6 linked regions of the Oryctolagus cuniculus genome follow. The protein of the gene in region 5 purifies or fractionates together with the protein of the main gene of each other region. This does not show direct contact. Links are inferred from orthologs where the notes say so. Each region holds a gene or a part of one and is shown on either strand. Other genes may lie near its edges. The genes, in order: NPM1, DGCR8, DHX33, GNL2, USP36 and CHD4.

What was found.
Region 1: the proteins of USP36 (region 5) and NPM1 purify together in Homo sapiens (affinity purification with mass spectrometry; 4 studies listed by BioGRID and IntAct, counting the BioPlex papers as one, with this or other methods). This does not show direct contact. The link is inferred for Oryctolagus cuniculus from reciprocal best matches to the Homo sapiens genes USP36 and NPM1.
Region 2: the proteins of USP36 (region 5) and DGCR8 purify together in Homo sapiens (affinity purification with western blotting; 3 studies listed by BioGRID, with this or other methods). This does not show direct contact. The link is inferred for Oryctolagus cuniculus from reciprocal best matches to the Homo sapiens genes USP36 and DGCR8.
Region 3: the proteins of USP36 (region 5) and DHX33 purify together in Homo sapiens (affinity purification with mass spectrometry; 5 studies listed by BioGRID and IntAct, counting the BioPlex papers as one, with this or other methods). This does not show direct contact. The link is inferred for Oryctolagus cuniculus from reciprocal best matches to the Homo sapiens genes USP36 and DHX33.
Region 4: the proteins of USP36 (region 5) and GNL2 purify together in Homo sapiens (affinity purification with mass spectrometry; 3 studies listed by BioGRID and IntAct, with this or other methods). This does not show direct contact. The link is inferred for Oryctolagus cuniculus from reciprocal best matches to the Homo sapiens genes USP36 and GNL2.
Region 6: the proteins of USP36 (region 5) and CHD4 purify together in Homo sapiens (affinity purification with mass spectrometry; 3 studies listed by BioGRID and IntAct, with this or other methods). This does not show direct contact. The link is inferred for Oryctolagus cuniculus from reciprocal best matches to the Homo sapiens genes USP36 and CHD4.

What each region holds. Positions count from the first base shown.
Region 1 is NC_091437.1:58,117,998-58,121,497, reverse strand, and holds part of NPM1 (nucleophosmin), read right to left. Parts: intron 3,102-3,500; coding exon 3,008-3,101; intron 2,702-3,007; coding exon 2,595-2,701; intron 2,504-2,594; coding exon 2,436-2,503; intron 1-2,435. UniProt on the Homo sapiens protein: Involved in diverse cellular processes such as ribosome biogenesis, centrosome duplication, protein chaperoning, histone assembly, cell proliferation, and regulation of tumor suppressors p53/TP53 and ARF.
Region 2 is NC_091452.1:27,750,262-27,754,295, forward strand, and holds the start of DGCR8 (microprocessor complex subunit DGCR8), read left to right. Parts: upstream 1-1,234; 5' UTR 1,235-1,408; intron 1,409-1,608; exon of another isoform or gene 1,609-4,034.
Region 3 is NC_091448.1:50,891,981-50,894,646, reverse strand, and holds part of DHX33 (ATP-dependent RNA helicase DHX33), read right to left. Parts: intron 1,482-2,666; coding exon 1,173-1,481; 3' UTR 1-1,172. UniProt on the Homo sapiens protein: Implicated in nucleolar organization, ribosome biogenesis, protein synthesis and cytoplasmic dsRNA sensing. Stimulates RNA polymerase I transcription of the 47S precursor rRNA.
Region 4 is NC_091438.1:135,186,090-135,189,589, forward strand, and holds part of GNL2 (nucleolar GTP-binding protein 2), read left to right. Parts: intron 1-1,577; coding exon 1,578-1,717; intron 1,718-3,500. UniProt on the Homo sapiens protein: GTPase that associates with pre-60S ribosomal subunits in the nucleolus and is required for their nuclear export and maturation.
Region 5 is NC_091448.1:2,834,945-2,838,886, forward strand, and holds the start of USP36 (ubiquitin carboxyl-terminal hydrolase 36), read left to right. Parts: upstream 1-1,142; 5' UTR 1,143-1,299; exon of another isoform or gene 1,300-1,329; intron 1,330-3,942. UniProt on the Homo sapiens protein: Deubiquitinase essential for the regulation of nucleolar structure and function. Required for cell and organism viability.
Region 6 is NC_091440.1:102,932,729-102,935,563, forward strand, and holds the end of CHD4 (chromodomain-helicase-DNA-binding protein 4), read left to right. Parts: intron 1-135; coding exon 136-331; coding exon of another isoform or gene 332-334; intron 335-1,436; coding exon 1,437-1,600; intron 1,601-1,721; coding exon 1,722-1,739; 3' UTR 1,740-2,335; downstream 2,336-2,835. UniProt on the Homo sapiens protein: ATP-dependent chromatin-remodeling factor that binds and distorts nucleosomal DNA. Acts as a component of the histone deacetylase NuRD complex which participates in the remodeling of chromatin.

The sequences.
Region 1 (3,500 bases), on a different chromosome or scaffold from region 5:
GGAGAGACCCAGAAGCTCCTGGCTCCTGGTTTTGGATCAGCCCAACTCCAACCATTGTGGCCATCTGGGAAGTGAACCAGTGGTTGGAAGCTCTCTGTGCTCTGTTTAACTCTTTCAAATAAATCTTAAAAAATAAAAAAAATAAAAAAAAAAAAAAACCCTAAAGACACAAAAAATTCACAGTAGACTTAAATCTAATGACAATATTCAACAGAATCCCTACAACAATGCTGACTTCCTTGGAAAAATCTGTCCTAAAACCACATAGGGTTCTCACTTGGTGATTCAAACAGTAATCTAAGACCTATATGAATGCTGAAGCTACTAGTATATTTTCACGACCTCAGATTTGGCAACGGTGTTTTAGGTTTAACAAAAGCAAAGCAAAAAATTCTGTACTTCATGAAAACGAATTTTTATGCAAAGGCTACCACCAAGTTACTGAAGATGGCAGAAAATGGCAGAAAGTATTTGCAAATCACCTAAGGTACTTGCTTCCAGAATATAAAGAACTCTAGCAATTTTTGAATGAGCAAGGGATCTGACCAACATTTTTCTCCAAAGATATACATATGGTATATGTCCATCACCAGTCACCATGGAAATGCAAATCAAAACCACAATGATACTATACACCAGTGGGGTAGGTATGTATACAACCCACCACTGGCAGGAATCATTCAGGCACTTAGAGGAACTGCCAGGCTTTTTTTTCCCGAAGAGTTAAACCTCCAGTCACCATTTACCCGAAACATCTAGAATAGGCAAATCTACAAATATAAAGACCAAGTTCATTCGTTGAGGAACATGAGGAGTCACAGCTAAGGGAAATGATTTTTTCAGTTACACCATTTTAAAATGATTTGTGCAGCTAGTGACGTGGTGTCGCATCTACTCCACTTCAGATACAGCTTCCTGATAACGGCCCAAGAAAAGGTTCAAGGAGCTGGTGATGTGCCGCAGTGGGTTAAACCAGCTGCAGTGCCAGCACCCCGTATGGACTCCAGTTCAAGACCCAACTGTTCCACTTCACATCCATCTCCTCTGTGGCCTGGAAAAGCAGAAGATGGCCCAAGTCTTTGGGCCTCTGTGCCTTCACGGGAGATCCAGAAGAAGTTCCTGGTTCCAGCTGTTGCGGCCACTTAGGTAGTGAACAGATGGAAGATTCTCTGCCTCTCTAACTCTGCCTTTCAAATAAAAAGTTTTAAAAATAAATCGGTTTAAGACATAAAAGAATCTGTCTTTAAAAAAAAACTTCAAAAGGCCAAGTTTTAGACACTTCCCACTCACTGATACTCCTGGCTCTTGGCTAGGCTCCACCCTGACTGCTGTAGCCACTTGGGGGCAAATCAGTGGATGTTAAGATCTGTTTCTCCCTCTCTCCTTAACTCTTTCAAATAAATGTAAAAACAGAAAATTGTTTTTAGGTGATGGCTGCACAGGGTGTTGATTCCAGGATCCAAGTATTCCACAATCCAGGGATATTTAAACCACTTATAAGAGTGTCCGCATACATATACACATACATATACTCCAAATCACCTCTAAGTTACTTCTTACACCTAACAAAAATGATGAAAGATTAAAAATCAAGTCTGTATTCAGTACAGAAGACACTGTCCAACAATACTAGTATAGAATCCAGATATAAATTTCAACTAAGCTGTGCCATACCCTTTCCATCCTCAAAAGAGGATCTCCCTTTCACCTTGTTCTTTGTTCAAAGTCTACTGCCAATTGGCTATTTCATCTTTTCACATCTTAACCATCATCCATGCCATGCTCTTAACCCTCAGCCCCCTTGAGGCAACCATGACGTCCCTTAGCACACACATGCTTTTGACTACCCTCTCCTCTATTCGAAAATGTGCTGATTTGGACCACCCATACTTTACTTTCTCCCTAAGCATTATCTACTTACTATATACACAAAGGGACAATTCCGACACTGTGGTTACATTTTAAAAAGTAAATCTACTGGGGCTGGCACTGTAGCACAGCAGGCTAAGTCTCCATCTGTGGTGCCAGCATCCCATAAGTGTGCCAGTTTATGTCCCAGCTGCTCCCCTTCTAATTCACTCTCTGCTTATGGTCTGGGAAAGCAGTGGAAGATCGCCCAATTGCTTAGGCTCCCAAACCCACATGGGAGGTCGAAGAAACTCCTGGGCTCATTGCTTTGGTTCAGCCCATTTGGGGAGTAAGCCAATAGATGGAAGGATTCTGTCTCTACTTTCCCATTCCTACCAATGCTGCATGCTCTACTCTTAGGAAAAGCCACAATGCACAGCAGCATTTTAAAGGCTCAGTCCCAACATTTTTTTGCTGACAACCACTGACCACATGAATCCCTTTAATTATGAACTATTGCACAGAATAACTCTGGTAAATCATTTCCATAAAATTACCACCCATGCACATAAAAGCATGCTACTCACTCTTCATCATCATCATCGTCGTCGTCGTCATCTTCATCATCTTCTTCAGCAGCAAGCTTTACTTTTTTCTAAAAAGGAAAATATACTTATGAGCAAATGCTGATTGTTACCACCTAACAAAGGCTGTAATGCAAATCTGCAGTGAAATGACATCTCTACCTGTGGCACCTTGCTGCCACCTCCAGGGGCAGATCGTTTTCCAGATATACTTAATAGCTTCACATCCTCTTCCTCCTCGTCTTCTGATTCTGCATCTTCCTCCACAGCTAAAATAAAATTATCAGACATTTATTTTAAAACTCAAACAAGAATCATTCAGGAAAAATAAAGATTAATACTATAGAATGCTGAACACTTAAAAATCCAACAAAAGGACAGCAAATGGCAACAGAATTTTTTAAAGGATTTTGTTGTTAAACATGCCCTTACTATCATTAATTTAAGGTTCTCACTGGAACTCACTATAAACAGTAATAGTATAACCAAGCCTGGTTTAAGTACAAACCAGAAGCCAAGCAACTGCAGTATATGATATATATATATATACAATGCAGTATATGAAAAGAACATACCTACTAAGTGCTGTCCGCTAATATGCACAGGCCCTGAACCACACTTCAACCTTAAGACCACAGGTGGTGTTATTTCAAAGCCCCCAAGGGAAACCTAAAATGGAGATTTAAGAACAGCATTACAGGCAAATCCACACACCAAAATAAACCAGTGAGTCTGTTTCCCCCTCTATTTAACAGCAGAAACCTTTTTAACAGCTGACCATTCAACTCTAGTGACAGAAACATGTAGCTATGACTAATGGGGTAAAGAAGCACCAAATAAAATTCCACTTTCTAGGGCCAGCACTGTGGCAAAGTGGATGAAGCCGCTGCCTGTATTGCCAGCATCCTGTATGGGCAACTGCTCCACTTCTGACCCAGATTTCTGCTATGGCCTGGGAAAGCAGGGGACACCTGGAGGAAGCTCCTGGCTTCAATCAGCCCACCTCCAGCCACTGCGATCACTTGGGGAGTGAACCAGCATTGGAAGACCTCTCTTTGCCTCTCTGTA
Region 2 (4,034 bases), on a different chromosome or scaffold from region 5:
TTAAGATTTATTTCCACTTATTTGAAAGGCACAGTTCCAGAGAAGGAGAGACCTTCCATCTGCTGGTTCAATCCCCAAATGGCTGGAAGCTTATTCCGGGTCTCCCACATGGGTGCAGGCTGAGCACTTGGGGCATCTTCTGCTACTTTCCCAGGCACATTAGCAGGGAGCTGGATCCGAAGTGGAACAGCCAAGACTCGAACCGGCGCCCATGTGGGATGCTGGCATCGCAGGTGGCCATGCTCAATGCCAGCCCCCATGCTTTGCTTCTAATCCAGCTTCCTGCTCATTCACCTGGGAAGGCAGAGGAGTGATGGTTCTCGCTAGGGGCCCTGCCCTCCATGTGGGAGACCAGGATGGAGTTCCTGGCTCCTGGCTTCAGCCTGGCCCAGACGTGTGGCTGTTGGATGGAGCCCAGTGGCTGTAAGATTTCTCTTTCAAATACCTACCTACATTTTTTTTTAAGTTGTGATCCAGGGGTAGGCATTTGGCACAGCCCGTGAGCTGTTGCTTCAGACACCTGCATCTCACGTTGCAGTGGGGTCCTGGCTCCACTTCCTGCCCACGCGCACCCTGGGAGGCAGCAGCTGCTAACTCTAGTACTTCGGTCCCTGACACCCACGTGGGAGACTCCGACTGACTCCCGGTTTCCCGGTCCCAGCTGTAGCAGGCATCTGGGAGTGAACCAGCATCTAGAAGGGCTTTCATCTCTACGGGTCTCTATCCCCGTCTTTGCTTTCAGATACTGTTTCTCCCATGGCCTGCCCCCGCTGCAGCACCTGTCACCGAGGGAGACGTTCCGTTCCCGGCGCTCCCTCTGCATTCATGGGACGCGGCGCTACCTTGGCCGCTAGGCTCTCCCTTTCTGTCGCGGGCTCCCGTGCACTGTCCACTCCAGCAGTGCTTGGAGGCTGCTCCCGGCGTGCCCCGCGCTTCCCGCGCTCCCCTGCTCCCGGCATGCCCCGCGCCCCCCGTTCCCAGCGCCCCTCGCGGCCGCCGCCCTCGGAGAAGGCGAACGCCCCTCCACCCACCCCCCACGCTGGGGGCGACCGTTAGCGCGGCCTGGACCTCGCGCCTGGGCCCGCCTACGTGGCCTCGCTATTGGCCGCGCGCCGCCGTCGCGCGCGCCGCGCTCCGCCGATTGGCGGCCTCCGCGGCCCGCTTCCCGCGTCTCTCCCAATGTACGGCGGCGGCGCGCGGGGATTGGCCGCGCGCCGCAAAGGCCCGCCCTCAGCTCGCCCGGCGCGGCAGGCGGGTCCCGCCGACCGGAGAGGCTAGGCGGCCTTTCCAGATGATGGCGGCGGCGGGGGCGGCGGCGGTGATGGCGGCTGCAGCAGCCGCCGGGCGGTGAGGCTCTCCCCGCTGCGGTCGGGCTGCGGGCGGCTCGGGCAGGCCGCGGGCGGCGCAGGTAGGTGCGGGGCGCGAGGGGCGCCCCGCGGGCGGGCGGGCGGGCGGGCGCTGCGGCCTGCGCACCCTTCCCTCCGTCCCTCCTGGCCGAGGCCGCGGGCCCGGGCTGCGGACGGGGCGCGGGCTCGGGGCGGGCCGGGCCACGCGGAGTCCCAGCCTTTGTCAGGCAATATGGCCGCGGGCAGCGGAGGGCGCGGGGGCGCGGGCCCGCCGGGGGCCCGGGCCGGGGCCGGGGGTCGATCCCGGGCCCGGGGGGTCCCTGGTGCTCGTCGCTACCCGCCCAGTTATGGAGACCCTTATCCGGGTGGCCCGAAGGCGCAGTGTCGCCTCCAGGCGCGGAAGGGGCGGACAGGGACGGCGCTGGCGTGGACGCTGCCCGGCATGGATAGAGTTGGGGAACCCCGAGAAGTCGCCGAGTCTTTTCTCTCCACCAAACGCTCACGGATTGAGCGCCCTGCCAGCCATCGGGATGTGGTTTTATTTGTTAACCGTGAGCGTGGTAGAGAGAAACGGGAAGGCGGCAACCTGTTGACAGCCATACCTGTCAAGTGCCCTCGGGTGGACTTGGGTTGCTCGTGGTAGGAACCGGATTTGCCGTTTCGCATGCTTGCATGTCCCTGGTTTGCGGGTGCACGGCGGCCAGTGCCCACCCTCGTTCAGCCGCTCGCCACCCCGCCCCGTTAAACCCGGCGGCCGCAGAGGGAGTGAGGACAGGACGCGAGGCCCGGTTGGAGGATGACAAAAGGACTGGATGAGGTCATTGCCGCTGGGATGGGCGGGAGACTGCAGCGAAGGGTGCTGTCCAGGGGCGCTGTGCGTCCGCGCCTGGCTCCCGGTCCAGTTGGCAGGGCCGGGCTTGCGGCTGGCCGTGTGCTCCGTGGGCTGCAGGGCCTGCGGGCCTCCCTTTGAGCCCTCTGTGGCCAGCCGCTGCAGGGGAGCACCGTCCAGGGCGTCTGATGGAGGCCGCCTGGTGACCTTGGAGTTGGGGCATGGGAGCCCCCTCGCCTGGGCTCTCCCCCAGCCTCCTGGCTTGAATGCAGTTTCCTCTGTGTCTTTCAAGATCCTGGCTCTGGCCTCCCTTCGGAGCCCCGGCCTCTTGCACATCCCCATGTGTTGTTACTTTTGATTCCAAAGTGGCCATGCCCGCCCCTGTCCAGACCACCCGCACCTCTGTTGCTCTTACTCCTGCGTCCCCAGGAAGCCTTGAGCTCACCTTGCCTCTCCGGTATTCCGCCTCTCTGCAGCTTAAGGTCCTGGCCGAGCTGCCTGGTGAGCCTCCGCCTCCTCTTTGCTGGAACCCTCAGCCCCACCCCCTCACCTGTAGGTTTGGTTTGGTTTTGTTTTGTTTTGGACACAAAGTGATCTTTTTAGCTGTGTGGTGGTGGAAGGCTACTTCAGAAAGGTTGTAGACAATGGAATGAAGAGAGTTGATTTTGACCCCCCCCCCCCCCATTTTTTTTTTTTTGAATAAATGCATAGGTGAGGTTTTCAGAAAGTTCATGGGAAGTATGTATTATGAGACTGTGCACGGTTGGAAAAAGTTGTTCACTGAAATAGACATCTGTGGGAAAAGTGTATTTGAGGAGGGGGAAAGAGAAACCTCATGTGCTGGTTTACTCCCCCAAATACCTGTGATGGCCGCGAGGGCCAGTCCTGAGCCAGGACCCAGGCCACAGCCAGGAGCTCTGTCCAGGCCTGCGCCATGGGTGCTAGGAACCCAACCGCTTGAGCTGTCAGGCTGCCTCCCAGGTGCTATGCTAGGCCCAGTGTTCCCCTCTTTTTCTTTTTACACATTTTGAGAAGCAGAGAGAGAGAGACAGCGCCCAAGGCTGGGTCGGGCCGAGGCTGGGAGCCAGGGACTCAGTCCCGTCTCCCCTGTGAGTGGCAGGAGCCTGGAATCAGGAGCGGAGTGACCCAGGTGCTCCTTCGGCAGGGGTAGGTTGGTTCTTAACCATTCTTTGAAACACCTGCCACAAGCCGAATCTTTGTGCTTTTCCGCAAACTTTTTGAAGTACCTTTGTGAAAATCCCAGGTGGTCTAGACCGAGGCCAGCTGGCCACTGGGGCGAAGCAGCTCCTCCCTGTGCTCCTGTGTGGCCTTGAGCGAGGCTCAGTGCTGTGAGAGCTGACAGAGCGGGTGTGCGAAGACCTGAGAGCGCGCGGAGGGGCCTTGGGCCGCGTGACGTCGCTGCTCGCACCAGTGACCCACCTCAGGATAAGGGCCTAGTGGTGGCCATCTGTGCTTGCCTTCGCTGGCCTGACCCTCTGCGCCTGCCCTGGACACACTGCTGGAGCTAGCCCCGCCACACTCTTTCTCTTGATGTTCCCTGGAATGTCCCGCCTCCTGCCCCTCTGCCTTCGCTGGCTACCTGTCTGCGCTGCCTCCCCTTCCCCAGCCCTGTTCTTTGCTTTGTTTGAGCTTGGACATTTCACGGTTACTCGTGCTCAAAATGTGAGCCCCGTGGGTTGGGGGCTTGTCTTGTGTCTACAGTGTTCCAGAGTGCCTGTGTGCGCCACGTGGAAGGTGTTGGAGCAAACTCTTGTTGATGGGGAGAGAAAGCTCTCCGGGGGATGTACGGCCCTTGCCCAAGCTCGGGCTGGCCGCCCGCCCGCCCTCCCGAGCACCCC
Region 3 (2,666 bases), about 48 Mb from region 5:
GCTCCTTCAGAGGGAAAACCACAGCTGGGTATGTGGGAGGCCCTGCGGTCAGTTTCCCATGCCTGTACTTGATATATTCACAAGATACAAATTGGCCTTTGCCTAGGAAATGTACACGTCCTCCAAAACCACTGATGGGGATCTGTGCCAGGGAGGCACGAGGGTCGGGGGACTCCTTTAGTGGCCCCTGCCTGGAGGCAGACACAGGGCAGCGCGCATCCTAAGACCGGAGGTTCCACACAGACGGCCACCCCAGTAGGTGACAGACAACAGCACCTCCTCCAGAACCGCCCACAGCACGCCATGTCTTAGGGCTGCTATTTCAGTCTCCCACAGACAGACCTTCAAATAGGACCAGGGACAGCATCCAGGCACGGCAACCCCCAATGGCAGCCTCCTTCCAGAAGGCCCGCTTTGGTCCCAAGAATGCAGGGGGTTTTGTTGTACTTCGCTTACACTGGGTAGTGAGCAGCAAGGTTAAGCATAATGGCTCACGACTCATCGGAAGTGTAGCCCATGCCGGGCATGGCTCTGGGTAATTTCCATCCATGTTCTCTACACTTCATGGCCCAATCCTGTGAGTGAGAATTCTTATAAGGGCTGGCACTGTGGCGTAGAAGGTTAAGCCTCCGCCTGAGGAGCCAGCATCCAATATGGGCATGGGTTCAAGTCCTAGCTGCTCCTCTTCTGATCCACCTCCCAGTTAATGGCCTGGGAAAGCAGCGGAAGATGGCCCAAGTGCTTGGGCTCCTGCACCCACATGGGAGACCGGGAAGAATCTCCTGGCTTTGGATTGGCCTAGCCCTCGTTATTGCAGCCATTTGGGGAATGAACCAGCAGATGGAAGACCTCTCTCTCTCTGTCTCTCCCTCTCTCTGCAATTCTGCCTCTCAAATAAATAAATAAATCTTTGGGGGAAAAAAAAAGTCTTATGACCCCCACTTGGCAGATGAGGAAACGAGCCCCCTGCAGTCACCGGCAGGAACCAAAAGCACAGTAAGTGCAGGTCCACATGCACACAGTCCAGGCTGAGCTTCCTGCTTCTGGAAGCCAGGCACGCTCAGCTGTGTGGAGACGCGCAGCTGCCCCAGGGGCCAACCGGAGAGCCTGCCGTGAGGGCAGCGGGCGTCCAAGGCCCGGGCAGGAGCAGCATGGACAGCACCCTGAGCGGCTCAGTTTCTGGCTGTCCTCAGCTTCCTCCTGAAGTACTCGGGGGCAGCCTCGTACAGCCACTCGGCGTCCACAACACAGAGGTCGCGCATGTAGCACTTGTTGGTGTGCAGCAGCTCTGTGTACACGACGCAGGCTGGCTTGCAGTGGAAGAGGACAGACGACGGGTGGATGGCCACCGGCTGGTGGGTGTCCGTGGTGGCGTAGGTGCCGTCGGGCTGAAGCTCGGCGGTGTTCATGAAGAGGCTGTGGGCCAGGCAGCGGCGGACGCTTTCCATGTCCCCTCGGGAGGACGCCATGGGCATCGACATCTGTTTCAGGACAAAGTGAGAGATGAAAAGGACCCCAGTGACCAACACCGCTCGGCACGACCTAGTGGGTGGCAGCAACAAGGCCCACGGCACAGCTCTGGTCTACCGTGTGCCCAACATAGACACCGACACGGAGGGGTGGTCTCCTCACGTGTCTTAGGGCTCAGCACGGGCGGACTGAAGACAGGAAAACCATGGCCGGGGGGGAACGAGGACTGAGAGGGAGACATTCCTCTGAGCGCCCAGCCCACAGGCAGGTTGGGGGCCCCAGCCCCTCGCCCAAGTCTTCACTGGGACGTGCCGGGGTTGGGGGAGCCTTTCCCCTTCGCTGATAGCACTGTGCAACAGCAGGTTAAACCGCCACCTGGGACCCCTGCATCCCATATGAGTGTGGGTTCAAGTACTGGCTGCTCCACTTCTGAACCAGCTCCATGTTAATGCACCTGAGAAAGCAGCAGAAGATGGTCCACGTCACCCATGTAGGAGACCGGGATGGAGTCCCAGGCCCCTGGCTTCGGCCTGGGCTAGCCACAGCCATTGCCATCTGGGGACTGAACCAGCAGATGGAAGATGGCTATCTTTCTTTCTCTCTCTTTCCCTCTTCCTCTTTCTCTAACACTGACTTTCAAATAAATAAATAAAACTTTAAAAATAAAAAAAAAGGAAGAAGTATACATAGTACAAGCTATAGAACATGTGTAATACATTGGGCTTTTTGGTGGTTTTTTTTGCTTTTTTATTTTAAAATTTTACAAATTTATTTTCACTTTATTTGAAAGGCAGAGCAACACAGAGACAGAGAGAGAGATCTTTCATCTGCTGGTTCACTCCCCAGATGCTTGCAACAGCTGGTTCTGGGTCATCTGGAAGTCAGGAACCAGGAACTCAATCCTGGTCTCCCGCACGGCTGGCAGGGACCCAGATACTTGAGCCGTCACCGCTGCTTCCCAGGGTGTGCGTGAGCAGGAAGCTGGATGAGGAGCAGAGGAGCTGGCACTCAGACCAGGCTCTCCCACGTGGGATGTGGGCCTCCCCAGCAGCACCTTAACCACTGCCCCAAATGCTTGCCCCCACATTTCTGTTAAAGGGAAATGTGATACATAAACCCATGTGTCTGTGTACACAGACAAGTTATCTCTACGGGGCAGGATCACGAGGCCTCTGCTGCAGCAGGAACCACCACGT
Region 4 (3,500 bases), on a different chromosome or scaffold from region 5:
TTCCATCTGCTGGTTCGCTCCCCAGATGGCCACAATGGCCGGAGCTGCACTGATCTGAAGCCAGGAGCCAGGAGCTTCTTCTGGGTCTCCCACGTGGGTGCAGGGGCCCAAGTATTTGGGCCATCTTCTACTGCTTTCCTAGGCCATAGCAGCGAGCTGGATCGGAAGAGGAGCAACCAGGACTAGAACCGGCGCCCATATGGGATTGCTGGCGCTGCAGGCGGAGGATCAGCCTGCGCCACAGTGTTGGCCCCCTAACTTTGCTTTTGAAGAGAGCTCTCTGTTGTTAAATGTCAGCAGACCCTGCCATGCCAGCCCACCAGCCTTAAAGACTAGCCTTCGCAGACCTTGAACTCTGCATTTCTGGAGTGATTACTGCTTGAGACTGGCCTTGCCAGTGGGGTTGTGCTTTTAGATCACAAAGCACACTAGCCTCAAGTTCCTCTGCAATACTTTGTCGTAATGAAACCATCTGAACCTGCATGACAATGAAAGAGCCTCATTTTTGGTTGGTCCTTCCGGGAATGGATGGGGTGTCTGGAGTCTCAGGAGGAACGGGGTTTCTTCCTTTGGGATCTCTGCCTTCATCTCAGTCTGGACTTGCTCTTAGCCACCAATAGCTGGGGGGGGCTAAGGACGGGCCCAAGCTGATGCAGACTGTCAGACCCCACTGCTTGCCTGGTGTTTGATCTCTGTGCTTGGGCACACCTCTTGATAGGATAGCGCCTAAGAACCGCAACAGGAAAATACCTGAGAGGACCAGGTGACTGGGCACGCGACTGTGTAGATCCAGGCTGCCTGAGTTTGAATTCTGGTTCTGCCATGCAGGTGACTGTGGACTAGTTACAGCGTCTGCCCGTTCATCTGTTTGCTCTTCTCTGCAGTGGGAGTAGAAGTCATGCCTGTCCCACAGCAGTGTGGTGGTGATTAAAGAGAAAAGACGTGGGGTGCTTGGAGGGGTCCCCACGAGTAGGGAGTGCAGTGTAGGCGCTGACTGCTCTTGCCATCACTGCCTGGAGGTTTTGCACTCGTGCTGTAATGCGCTGTTTAACTGAACACTTTCTGAGGCCCGGTCTCTTGCAAGGTGTTCGCCGGGTCCTGTCGTGTGGTTGTGTGGCTCCGATGTGTTCCCTTGCGGAGATTTATATGTTGATAGCACCCTCCTCCCCAGCCTTTGTAACCGCGCCTCTGTGCGCCTGACCAGAGACCGATCAGCCGGGAGTGCTCTGGATCCCATGGCCGGATGGAACAGGGAGTAGGACAGATCTCAAAGGCAGTTCCCTTTGTTGATGTTTGATTTTCAGTTTCATCCAGTCAGGAAATCGGGCTTGGAAAACCACGAAATCCTCTGTGTGTCTGAGTTGGGTGGATTAGATCATAGTGTGCGAGTGCAGAAGCGGTTTTGTGGTGGTTCCCCCCCCACCCCTCTGAGTTTGAAAGGGCCACAGGAGTGGGTGTGTCTGGTGCTTGGGTGGTGGAGGGCAATTTAAGTCTTGCCTTTCCCTGTGCCAGTGGGGAGGTGGCAGAAGCCACACAGAATTGTTTATTACATGGCGACACTCTTTGTTTGAAAACAGGAAACACACGTGTGATTAAGCAGTCGTCATTGCAAAAGTTTCAAGAGGAAATGGAGGCTGTCATGAAGGATCCATACAAAGTCGTCATGAAGCAGAGCAAGTTGCCGATGTCTCTTCTGCACGATCGAATCCAGCCTCATGTAAGCTGTGGGAGATCCCTGGCCATGGAACTTCTTGGGTGGACTCCACACAGATACCTTTCCAACATGTTTGTCTCTGGCCTTAATACAGCAGTGGTGAATGTCCTGAGACTTCCTTGTTCACCTTTGATAGGGGTCTCACCTGTAGTCTGGGTCGAGTTTTGTCAGGGAGGTGCAGTAGCGTGGTGGCTCACAGCACAGGCTTGGGAGTGAGGCCTGAAGTGTAGTGTGTTTTGTTGTTGTTGTTGTTGTTTTTAAGATTTTTATTTCTTTGAAAGAGTTAAAGAGGTAGAGATGGAGAGAGGTCTCCCGTCTGCTGGTTCACTCCCAAGATGGCCACAGTGGCCAGAGCTGTGCTGATCTGAAGCCAGGAACCAGGAGCTTCTTCTGGGTCTCCCATGTGGATACAGGGGCCCAAGTATTTGGGCCATCTTCTGCTGCTTTCCCAGGCCATAGCAGAGAGCTGGATCAGAAAAGGAGCAGCTGGGACTTGAACCAGCGCCCTTATGGGATGCTGGTGCTGCAGGCCAGGACTTTAACCCACTGTGCCACAGCACCAGCCCCTGAAGTGTAGTTCTTGCTCTGCCCCTTAGTGAGGATTCTCTGGGAGTTTACACGTCCCCGCCTGTGACATAAAGATGCATCAGCACCGTGGACGACTGCGTGCAGATGCAACGTGTGGAGAGCACTCAGCCCCTAGTGAGCACACAGCACACCACCTAATGAGAGCTGAATCAACAGCATTGTTACGATTTTTGATCATTTATTTATCTTGGTAGGCACAGCTGCTTAAGTAGTAATTCCATCAAGCTTCGAGGGACTGTAGGATTAGGATTGAGGTGGTGAGGGTCCCTTCCAGCTTCTGTGGGACCCTTGGGGACTTTTCCACTGAAAAGAAGGTGCTGTCCAGATTGGTGGCTGCCACTGCAGCCTGCATTACGGTCAGGACTAGGTCTGGCCGGAGTGGCCTGAGTTTCACACAGGACGAAGGGATGGCCTGGCGTCTGCCTGCACATCTTTACTTGCGCTGAATAATAATTCCCAGAAGTGTAGCCAGTGCGTACGCTTCAGTTCCAGCATAAGGAGGGAAGGAGACTGGTGACGTGCGTACAAGGATTAAACAGTTCAAAGAAAAGTGTTTACTTGCGGAACAAAATCTAAACCAAGGCCTGGTTGCTGCCTCAGGTTTTGTCAATTATGTTTTGTTTTATGACGGACTAGAAGAATGGCACCTATTAGTGAAATGACTGTTTTCTTTCAGGGAAGCACATGAGTGTAATTCATGAACCACAGACAAGTTGCTCATTTCCCTTGTTCTCTTTGTCTATTCTCCCTAAAGCCATCTTGTAACCAACTCTTGAATCCTGTTTATGGGAAGAACAGAGAAGTTCTATTATGGACTCATTGCTTTGTTGCCTGTTCCAGTTGTTCGGGGCATCTAAGATTCAGTGCTTAAGTTGCTGCCCTTGGAACGGTACCTGCAGCTGCCGCAGCTGCCGTTTTGATGCAGACAGGTTCTCGGGGTCATTGAGTTTTCTGCTTTGCTCCTAGAAATCCTTACATTTTTGGTGTTAGTACAGTGTCTGTTACTTCCTGTAAAGTGGAATTCTGAGTTTGTTGGCACAGTAGTGTCAAGTCGGACATGCTTTTATCTTGCGCACATTCACGCCCGTGTGTATGAGAATGTGATTTCTGTAGCAACACAGCAAAAGTACTATAACTTATTTTGCCTACCTAAAATAGGTATTAGTGCATCGCGCCTCTTCATGTGTAGGTTTACAGG
Region 5 (3,942 bases):
CTGGAGCCCTGAGCCGGGAGGGGGCGTGTGCCCCCAGGGTCCCGGGCCCGGGGTCCCCCGAGGGTCCCCGGCTGCACTTTCTGGCGACTGCTGCCTTGGGGTGAACTCTGAGGACACGGGTTCAAACCTCGCGCCCAGCGGGTTGAGCTGTCGCCCTGTAGCACGAGGACGAGGACAGGGACAGTCCGTGGGCTGCGGAGACTGTGCCGCGGTGACCGGCTGGGTCCCAGTGACCGGCTGGGTCCCGGGGACCAGCAGTGACAACTACAGGAATCAGAGGCGCCGCGGGGCGCCCCCCAGGTGCGGGAGGCCTGGGTAAGTGCCCCAGCACCCCAGTCTTGAGGGCAGAATTGGCGGACCCAGCTGCGCCCACCGTCCACGCACCCCCCCACCCCGCAGGCCCGGTCTGAGTGGAGCGGAGCCGGGAGCCGCGCGTGGACGGGGTACAGGCTTCGCCTCGCACGGCTTGTTTGCGTTTGCATTTTTTAAAAATTTATTTGAAAAGGAGAGTGACAGAGAGAGAGGGAGGGAGATCGTGAATCCGCCGGTTCACTCCCCAAATGGCCCCAACGGCCAGGACTGCGCCGGGCCGCAGCCGCGAGCTTCCTCTGGGCCTCCCGCGTGGGTGCAGGGGCCTCCGCCGCTTCCCAGGCCGTCAGCAGGGTGCTGGCCCGCAGGTGCGGCAGCCGGGACTCGAACAGGCGCCCAGAGGATGCGGCGTGCCAAGCAGCCGGCCCCGTGTGCCCTGGGGTCCCAGAGTGGCGGCGGTCAGCCGGAGACCACCCTCGCCACCCCTGCCCACGCCGCGCCCACCGCGAGGACAGAGCCCCAGACGCGCCCAGAGCCCCGCGGGGCCGCCCCGTCTCCCCTTCCGGGGCGGGGCTCGCTCCTCTGCGCACCCGAGCGCGCGCAGCCCGCCCGGCGCCCCGCCCACCCGCCCGCCGACCCGGAAGCGCGGCGCCCGCAGGAGCTCGCGCGACTCGGCCTGGGGGCGGGGCGGCTTCGGCTCTGCGCGCTTGCGTCACGGCGTAGGCGGGCGGGGACGCGGCGTGGGGAGGTGACGTAGGCGGCGCGTAGGGCCGCAGTGGGCGGGTCCGGGGCGGGAGGGTCCGGGCTAGGTCCGCCTCCTAAAGGCTCCCGGGCCTTCCGGCGGGAGCACCGCGTGGCGGCTGCGCGCGGCGCCTTTAAGCGCCGCCGTGACACGTGTGTGAGGCGCCGGAGGCCCGGATGGTGCTGTGAGGAGCCGCGAGCCTGAGGCCAGCGCCGCGCGGCCTGAGGCGGCCCGGCCGAGAGTCCTGGGTAGGCTGGGGCTGCATCGGGACGCGGGAGGTGCGTGGGCACGGGGGCGCGCTCGGGGACGGCGCGGGTGCGCGGCGCAGAGGGGACCGGGGGCCCGGCGGCGCTGTCAGCGGGGGTCTCGGAGGGCCCGAGGACGGCTCCAGCGCCGGGGCCCGCAGCTCGCTGGCGGGAGACTGGACAGGCCGAGCGGGCCCGCGCCGGGACGCGGGGCGCAGGGTGGCCCGCGCCGCAGGTGCGGGGTCGGGGAGCGCGCCTGGGGGCGCGGGGCCGGGCGGGAGCGGCGTCGGCAGCGGGGGGCGCCCGCACGCCCGCGGCCCGCGTCGGGGAGAGGCTCCCCGGCTCCCCGGCCCCGGCTCTGCCCGCAGCTCGCGGTTGAGCCCCGGGAGCAGGTGGCCCTGGAGCGGCGACTGTGGAGGCAGGAGGTGGGGGCTGTGTAGGCCGAGCTGGCCCGGGGGCTTGCGGGGGGCGGCTCCCGGGCCGCGGCGGTGTCATTTTAAGGTGACTGCTCGGAGTGAGGCTGACGTCACGACTCGGAAAGTTGTGTGTGTCCAGTCTGACCTAAGCGGCGGGGCTCGGGGCTCCCGCGCCTTAGCCAGCCCCTGCGCCCCGGTGGTCGGCTCGGGAGGCTTTGCCAGGCGGGCCGCCTTTGCGGGCCCTGTCGCACCTCGGGGTCGGGCGGAGTAATGGGCGAGAAGCTTGCTGTGCACGACCCCGGGACGGGAGGACCCAGACTGGCCGGAGGGGGCCCCGAACCCCTGGTGCCCGCCGCGCTCCCAGCGCCCACTTCCGCTGTGTGTACTTCAGTTAAAAAACGCATGCTTGCTTTATTCGAAAGGCAGAATGACAGATGCGGGGCGGAGTGCTGTGCCCTGGCTGCGAGGACGGGGCGGGGCTGCCCGGGACTCCACGTGGGCGGCTGCTCCCCCAGGCGCCCCAGCAGGGAGCTGGAGCGGAGCGGCTTCACCTGCTGCCCTGTGACGTCAGCCCCGAAGGACTTCCGGTCTGGGCGGTCACCGTGATGGTTTTAGCTGTGGATCCGCGCAGCGAGTGAACCCATGAGCTTGGAGACTTCAGCTGAATGCCCCTGAGCCCCGGGAAGTGCGTCAGGCCGCAGGGGACGTCGCTGGGCGGGGGTTTTCGGCCCCTGACTTTCTCGGTTTTCGGGGTGAGGACACGGAGCGGCTGGCCGTGGTTCGCGTGTCTGCAGGGGCAGTGAGTGCACCTGTAACTTTGACTCTTCCTGGTCGCGCTCACAGCCTGGGCCCGCGCCTGTCGCCGTGTGTGACGGTCTTGCTGGGCTCCCCACAGGCGCCGACACCTGTGCTGAGTCCAGGAGTGCCGGTTCTGAGGGCCCAGGACAGCACCTGGCCGGTCAGACCCGCTCCATGGTGCAGGCCGAAGCTGCAGGTCTGTGCGTAGACACCCAGGTGAGCTGGCACGGTTCCGCCCTGGTTACAGTGTGTGCCGTTATCCCCGAGGCCCGGCCGGTGCATAGACACTCAGGTGGGCCGGCACGGTTCCGCCCTGGTTACAGTCTATGCCGTTACCCCCGAGACCCGGCCGGTGCATAGACACCCAGGTGGGCTGGCACGGTTCTGCCCTGGTTACAGTGCGTGCCGTTACCCCCGAGACCCGGCTGGTGTGTAGACACTCAGGTGAGCTGGCACGGTTCCTCCCTGGTTACAGTGCACGCTGTTACCCCTGAGACCTGGCCGGTGTGTAGACACCCAGGTGGGCCGGCACGGTTCCAGCCTGGTTATAGTGCGTGCCGTTACCCCCGAGACCCGGCTGGTACATAGACACCCAGGTGGGCCGGCACGGTTCTGCCCTGGTTACAGTGCGTGCCGTTACCCCCGAGACCCGGCTGGTGTGTAGACACTCAGGTGAGCTGGCACGGTTCCTCCCTGGTTACAGTGCACGCTGTTACCCCTGAGACCCGGCCGGTGTGTAGACACCCAGGTGGGCCGGCACGGTTCCGCCCTGGTTACAGTCCAGCCCGTTACCCCCGAGACCCGGCAGGGACCCTTTGGTTGGTGAGCAGCCTCAAGTCCTTTCCCTTCGGAAAGACTTTCACGCTGGTTTTCTTGCGAGTGAGTGTTGGAGCAGGTGTTTAGGCTGGAGGTTAAGGTGCCCGTGCCCTGCACCACAATACCTGGGTTTGAACTCCAGCTCTGGCTCCTGACGCCAGCTTCCTGCCAGCGCAGGCCTCTGGAGGAAGCAGTGGTGGCCCGGCTGACTGGGCTGTCCCACAGAGGGGCGACCTGGGTCGAGTCCTGTCTCCTGACTCACCCTAGCCCAGCCTGGTCTCTCTCGCTCTCGTTTTTTCTTTTCAAGATTTATCTATTTATTAGAAAGGCAGAGTTACAGAGAAAGGGAGAAAGAGATCTTCCATTCTCCTGGTTCACTCCAAAAATGGCTGCAAGGGTCAGGGCTGGGCCGGGAGCCTGGAACTATCCAGTGCCCCAGGTGGGCCATCTCCCACTGCCTTCCCAGGCACATTAGCAGGAAGCGAAATTGGAAGCCGAGCAGCCAGGATCGCCAGCGCGACTTCATCCCCAGTGCCAGAAGGCTGGCCCGGGACATGCTTTTTTGATGTGGCTTAACTATTTGAAGCTTGGGCTCTGAGCTCCCAGCCGAGGGTGG
Region 6 (2,835 bases), on a different chromosome or scaffold from region 5:
GGAGTGGTGTTGGGGAGCCAGCCATGACGTTCTTCCTAAGTTCTCATTACCTGCAGGAAGCGGTGAGCTGGGGGGTCCATTAACAATGAGCAAAGTAAGTGTCATTCCAACTCTGTCTCTTTATCCCCTGTCCAGCTCTTGGAACAAGCCTTGGTGATTGAGGAACAGCTACGCCGAGCTGCCTACCTGAACATGTCAGAGGACCCTTCTCACCCTTCCATGGCCCTGAACACTCGCTTTGCGGAAGTGGAGTGTTTAGCGGAAAGTCATCAGCACTTGTCCAAGGAGTCCATGGCAGGAAACAAGCCAGCCAATGCAGTCCTGCACAAAGGTAGCCAGTGGCTCCCCTGCCTCCTGCTCATTCAGCCTTGACCCAGAGCGTGTGGAAGCCTTTTTCAGAGCCCTTTGGGAGCACAGGTCGTACCGAGGATCTTTGCCATCCTCCTTGGGAAGCTGAGGTCTGAGAGGCAGTCAAGGACGGCCACTGCTGGCCTCTTAGTGCATTCAGGTTCTTGAGGTGCAGAGTGGCACAGAGACACCCAGTGTCACTTGGGAACCTTAGGATGTCATCTTCAGATCGCTGCAGATTCTAGACCCTTTCCAACTTCGCTTCTATTTAAAGTAAAACAGCATGAGGAGGTGGAGGGTGAAGTGAGGAAAAGGCAGCTGTCATAAAGGAAGTGGGGGACAGATCCAGAAGGCAAACAGCAGGAATAAACTCCTCTCGAGTGGAGGAAGTGCAGACAGTCGCGAGCAGGGGGTGTGAGGGCTAGTCCACTAAGGGAGATTTTTTTTTTTTTTTTTTTTTTTTGACAGGCAGAGTTAGAAGGACAGAGAAAGGTCTTCCTTTCCTTGGTTCACCCCCCAAATGGCCTCTGCAGCCAGCACTGTGCTGATCTGAAGCCAGGAGCCAGGTGCTTCTCCTGGACCCATGCAGGTGCAGGGCCTAAGCACTCGGGCCATCCTCCACTGCCTTCCTGGGCCACAGCAGAGAGCTGGCCTGGAAGAGGAGCAACTGGGACAGAACCGGCTCCCCAACCGGCACTAGAACCCGGTGTGCCGGCACCGCAGGCAGAGGATTAGCCTAGTGAGCTGTGGCACCGGCCAGGGAGGTCATTTTTTTTAAAAAATTATTTATTTGAAATGCAGAGTTTAGAGGGAGAGACAGAGATCTTCCATCTCCCAAATGGCTGCAAAAGCCAAGGCTGAAGCCAGGACCCAAGAGATTCATCCAGGTCTCCCATGCTGGGCTGGCCTCTGCTGCTTTCCCAGGCGCATTAGCAGGGAGCTGGATCGGAAGTGGGGCAGCAGGGACTTGAACCGGTGCCCATGTGGGATGCCAGCGTCGTGGGTGGCGACTTGACCTGCCCCATCATAGCACCGGCCCCAGAGCATCTTTCTTGCCCAGCACAGCTCAACCCGTTTTCCCTCTGCAGTTCTCAAACAGCTGGAAGAGCTGCTCAGTGACATGAAAGCCGATGTGACTCGACTCCCAGCGACCATTGCCCGGATTCCTCCTGTGGCTGTGAGGTTACAGATGTCAGAGCGTAACATTCTCAGCCGCCTGGCCAACCGGGCACCGGAGCCTCCGCCACAGCAGGTGGGATCATTGGTTCTCCACGCCAGCGCTTCCCACAGACCCGTTCTGAAGCTGTAACTTTGCTGTCAGGCTGGGTCCCTGTGGCCTGTGAAGTTCTGACCCCCTGTCTTGTCTCCTCCAGGTAGCCCAGCAGCAATGAAGAGCCAGCCTGACACCACCTCCACCGCTGAGCAGTGACCTTCCTCACTTCCTCTTGTCCCGGCTTCTCCCCCGGGGGCCCGAGAGACCCTCGCCTTCCTCCTGCCCATCTTCCATGTTGTAAAGGAACAGCCCCCGTGCACTGGGGAGGGGAGGGAGTGCGGGGCAGTGGTGCCCTTCCTGCTGGAGATTCGGGCAGCAGCAGCAGTAGCGCCGGCGCCATCTGCAGGGAGCTGGCGGGCTGGCCTTCTGGACCCTGGCTTCCCCCACTGTAACGTCTGTTACACACAAACTGTTGTGGGTTCCTGCCGGGCTTGAAGAAAATGATCTGAATTTCTTCCTCCTTTTGGTTTTATTTTGCTGGTTTATTTTGTGTTTTCTCCTTTTTGGGGTATTCAAGAGTGGGCCGGGCCCCTGGGTGAGACACAGCTACCTCTGTTGGCATCTTTTTAATACCAGGAACCCAGCGGCTCCAGCCACTGTGCGGCTAGAGTGAAATAAAGTGGAAAAAAAAAAAAAGGAAAAAGAACCAAAAGCATAAAAAACCGCAACAAATTTCTTGATCAAAATTGAAAATAAAAGTTTCCTTGTATTTTAGTCCTCTGGTTCAGTGTGGGTGTAGGCGCAGCTGGGTGAAGGTGAAAGGCAGGAGCCCCCCTGAAACTCATCGGATATTTAAGGGCTGCTTCGAGCCATCCCCCCATCCCCTCCCAGAAGAGACCGGAGCCCCCAGCACCGTCCCGGGGTGCCTCCGGACGCGCAGTCCCCGGCACCGCCGCCTGGTGGCGCTGTGGCTGCGCCGAAGTCCACTTCGGGCTTCAGACTGCCGGTCGGGGCGCCTGATTCTGTCCCGGTTGCCCCTCTTCCAGGCCAGCTCTCTGCTGTGGCCCGGGAGTGCAGTGGAGGATGGCCCAAGTGCTTGGGCCCTGCACCCCATGGGAGACCAGGATAAGTACCTGGCTCCTGCCATCGGATCAGCGCGGTGCGCCGGCCGCAGCGCACTGGCCGCGGCGGCCATTGGAGGGTGAACCAACGGCAAAGGAAGACCTTTCTCTCTCTCTCACTGTCCACTCTGTCAAAAAAAAAAAAAAAAAAAC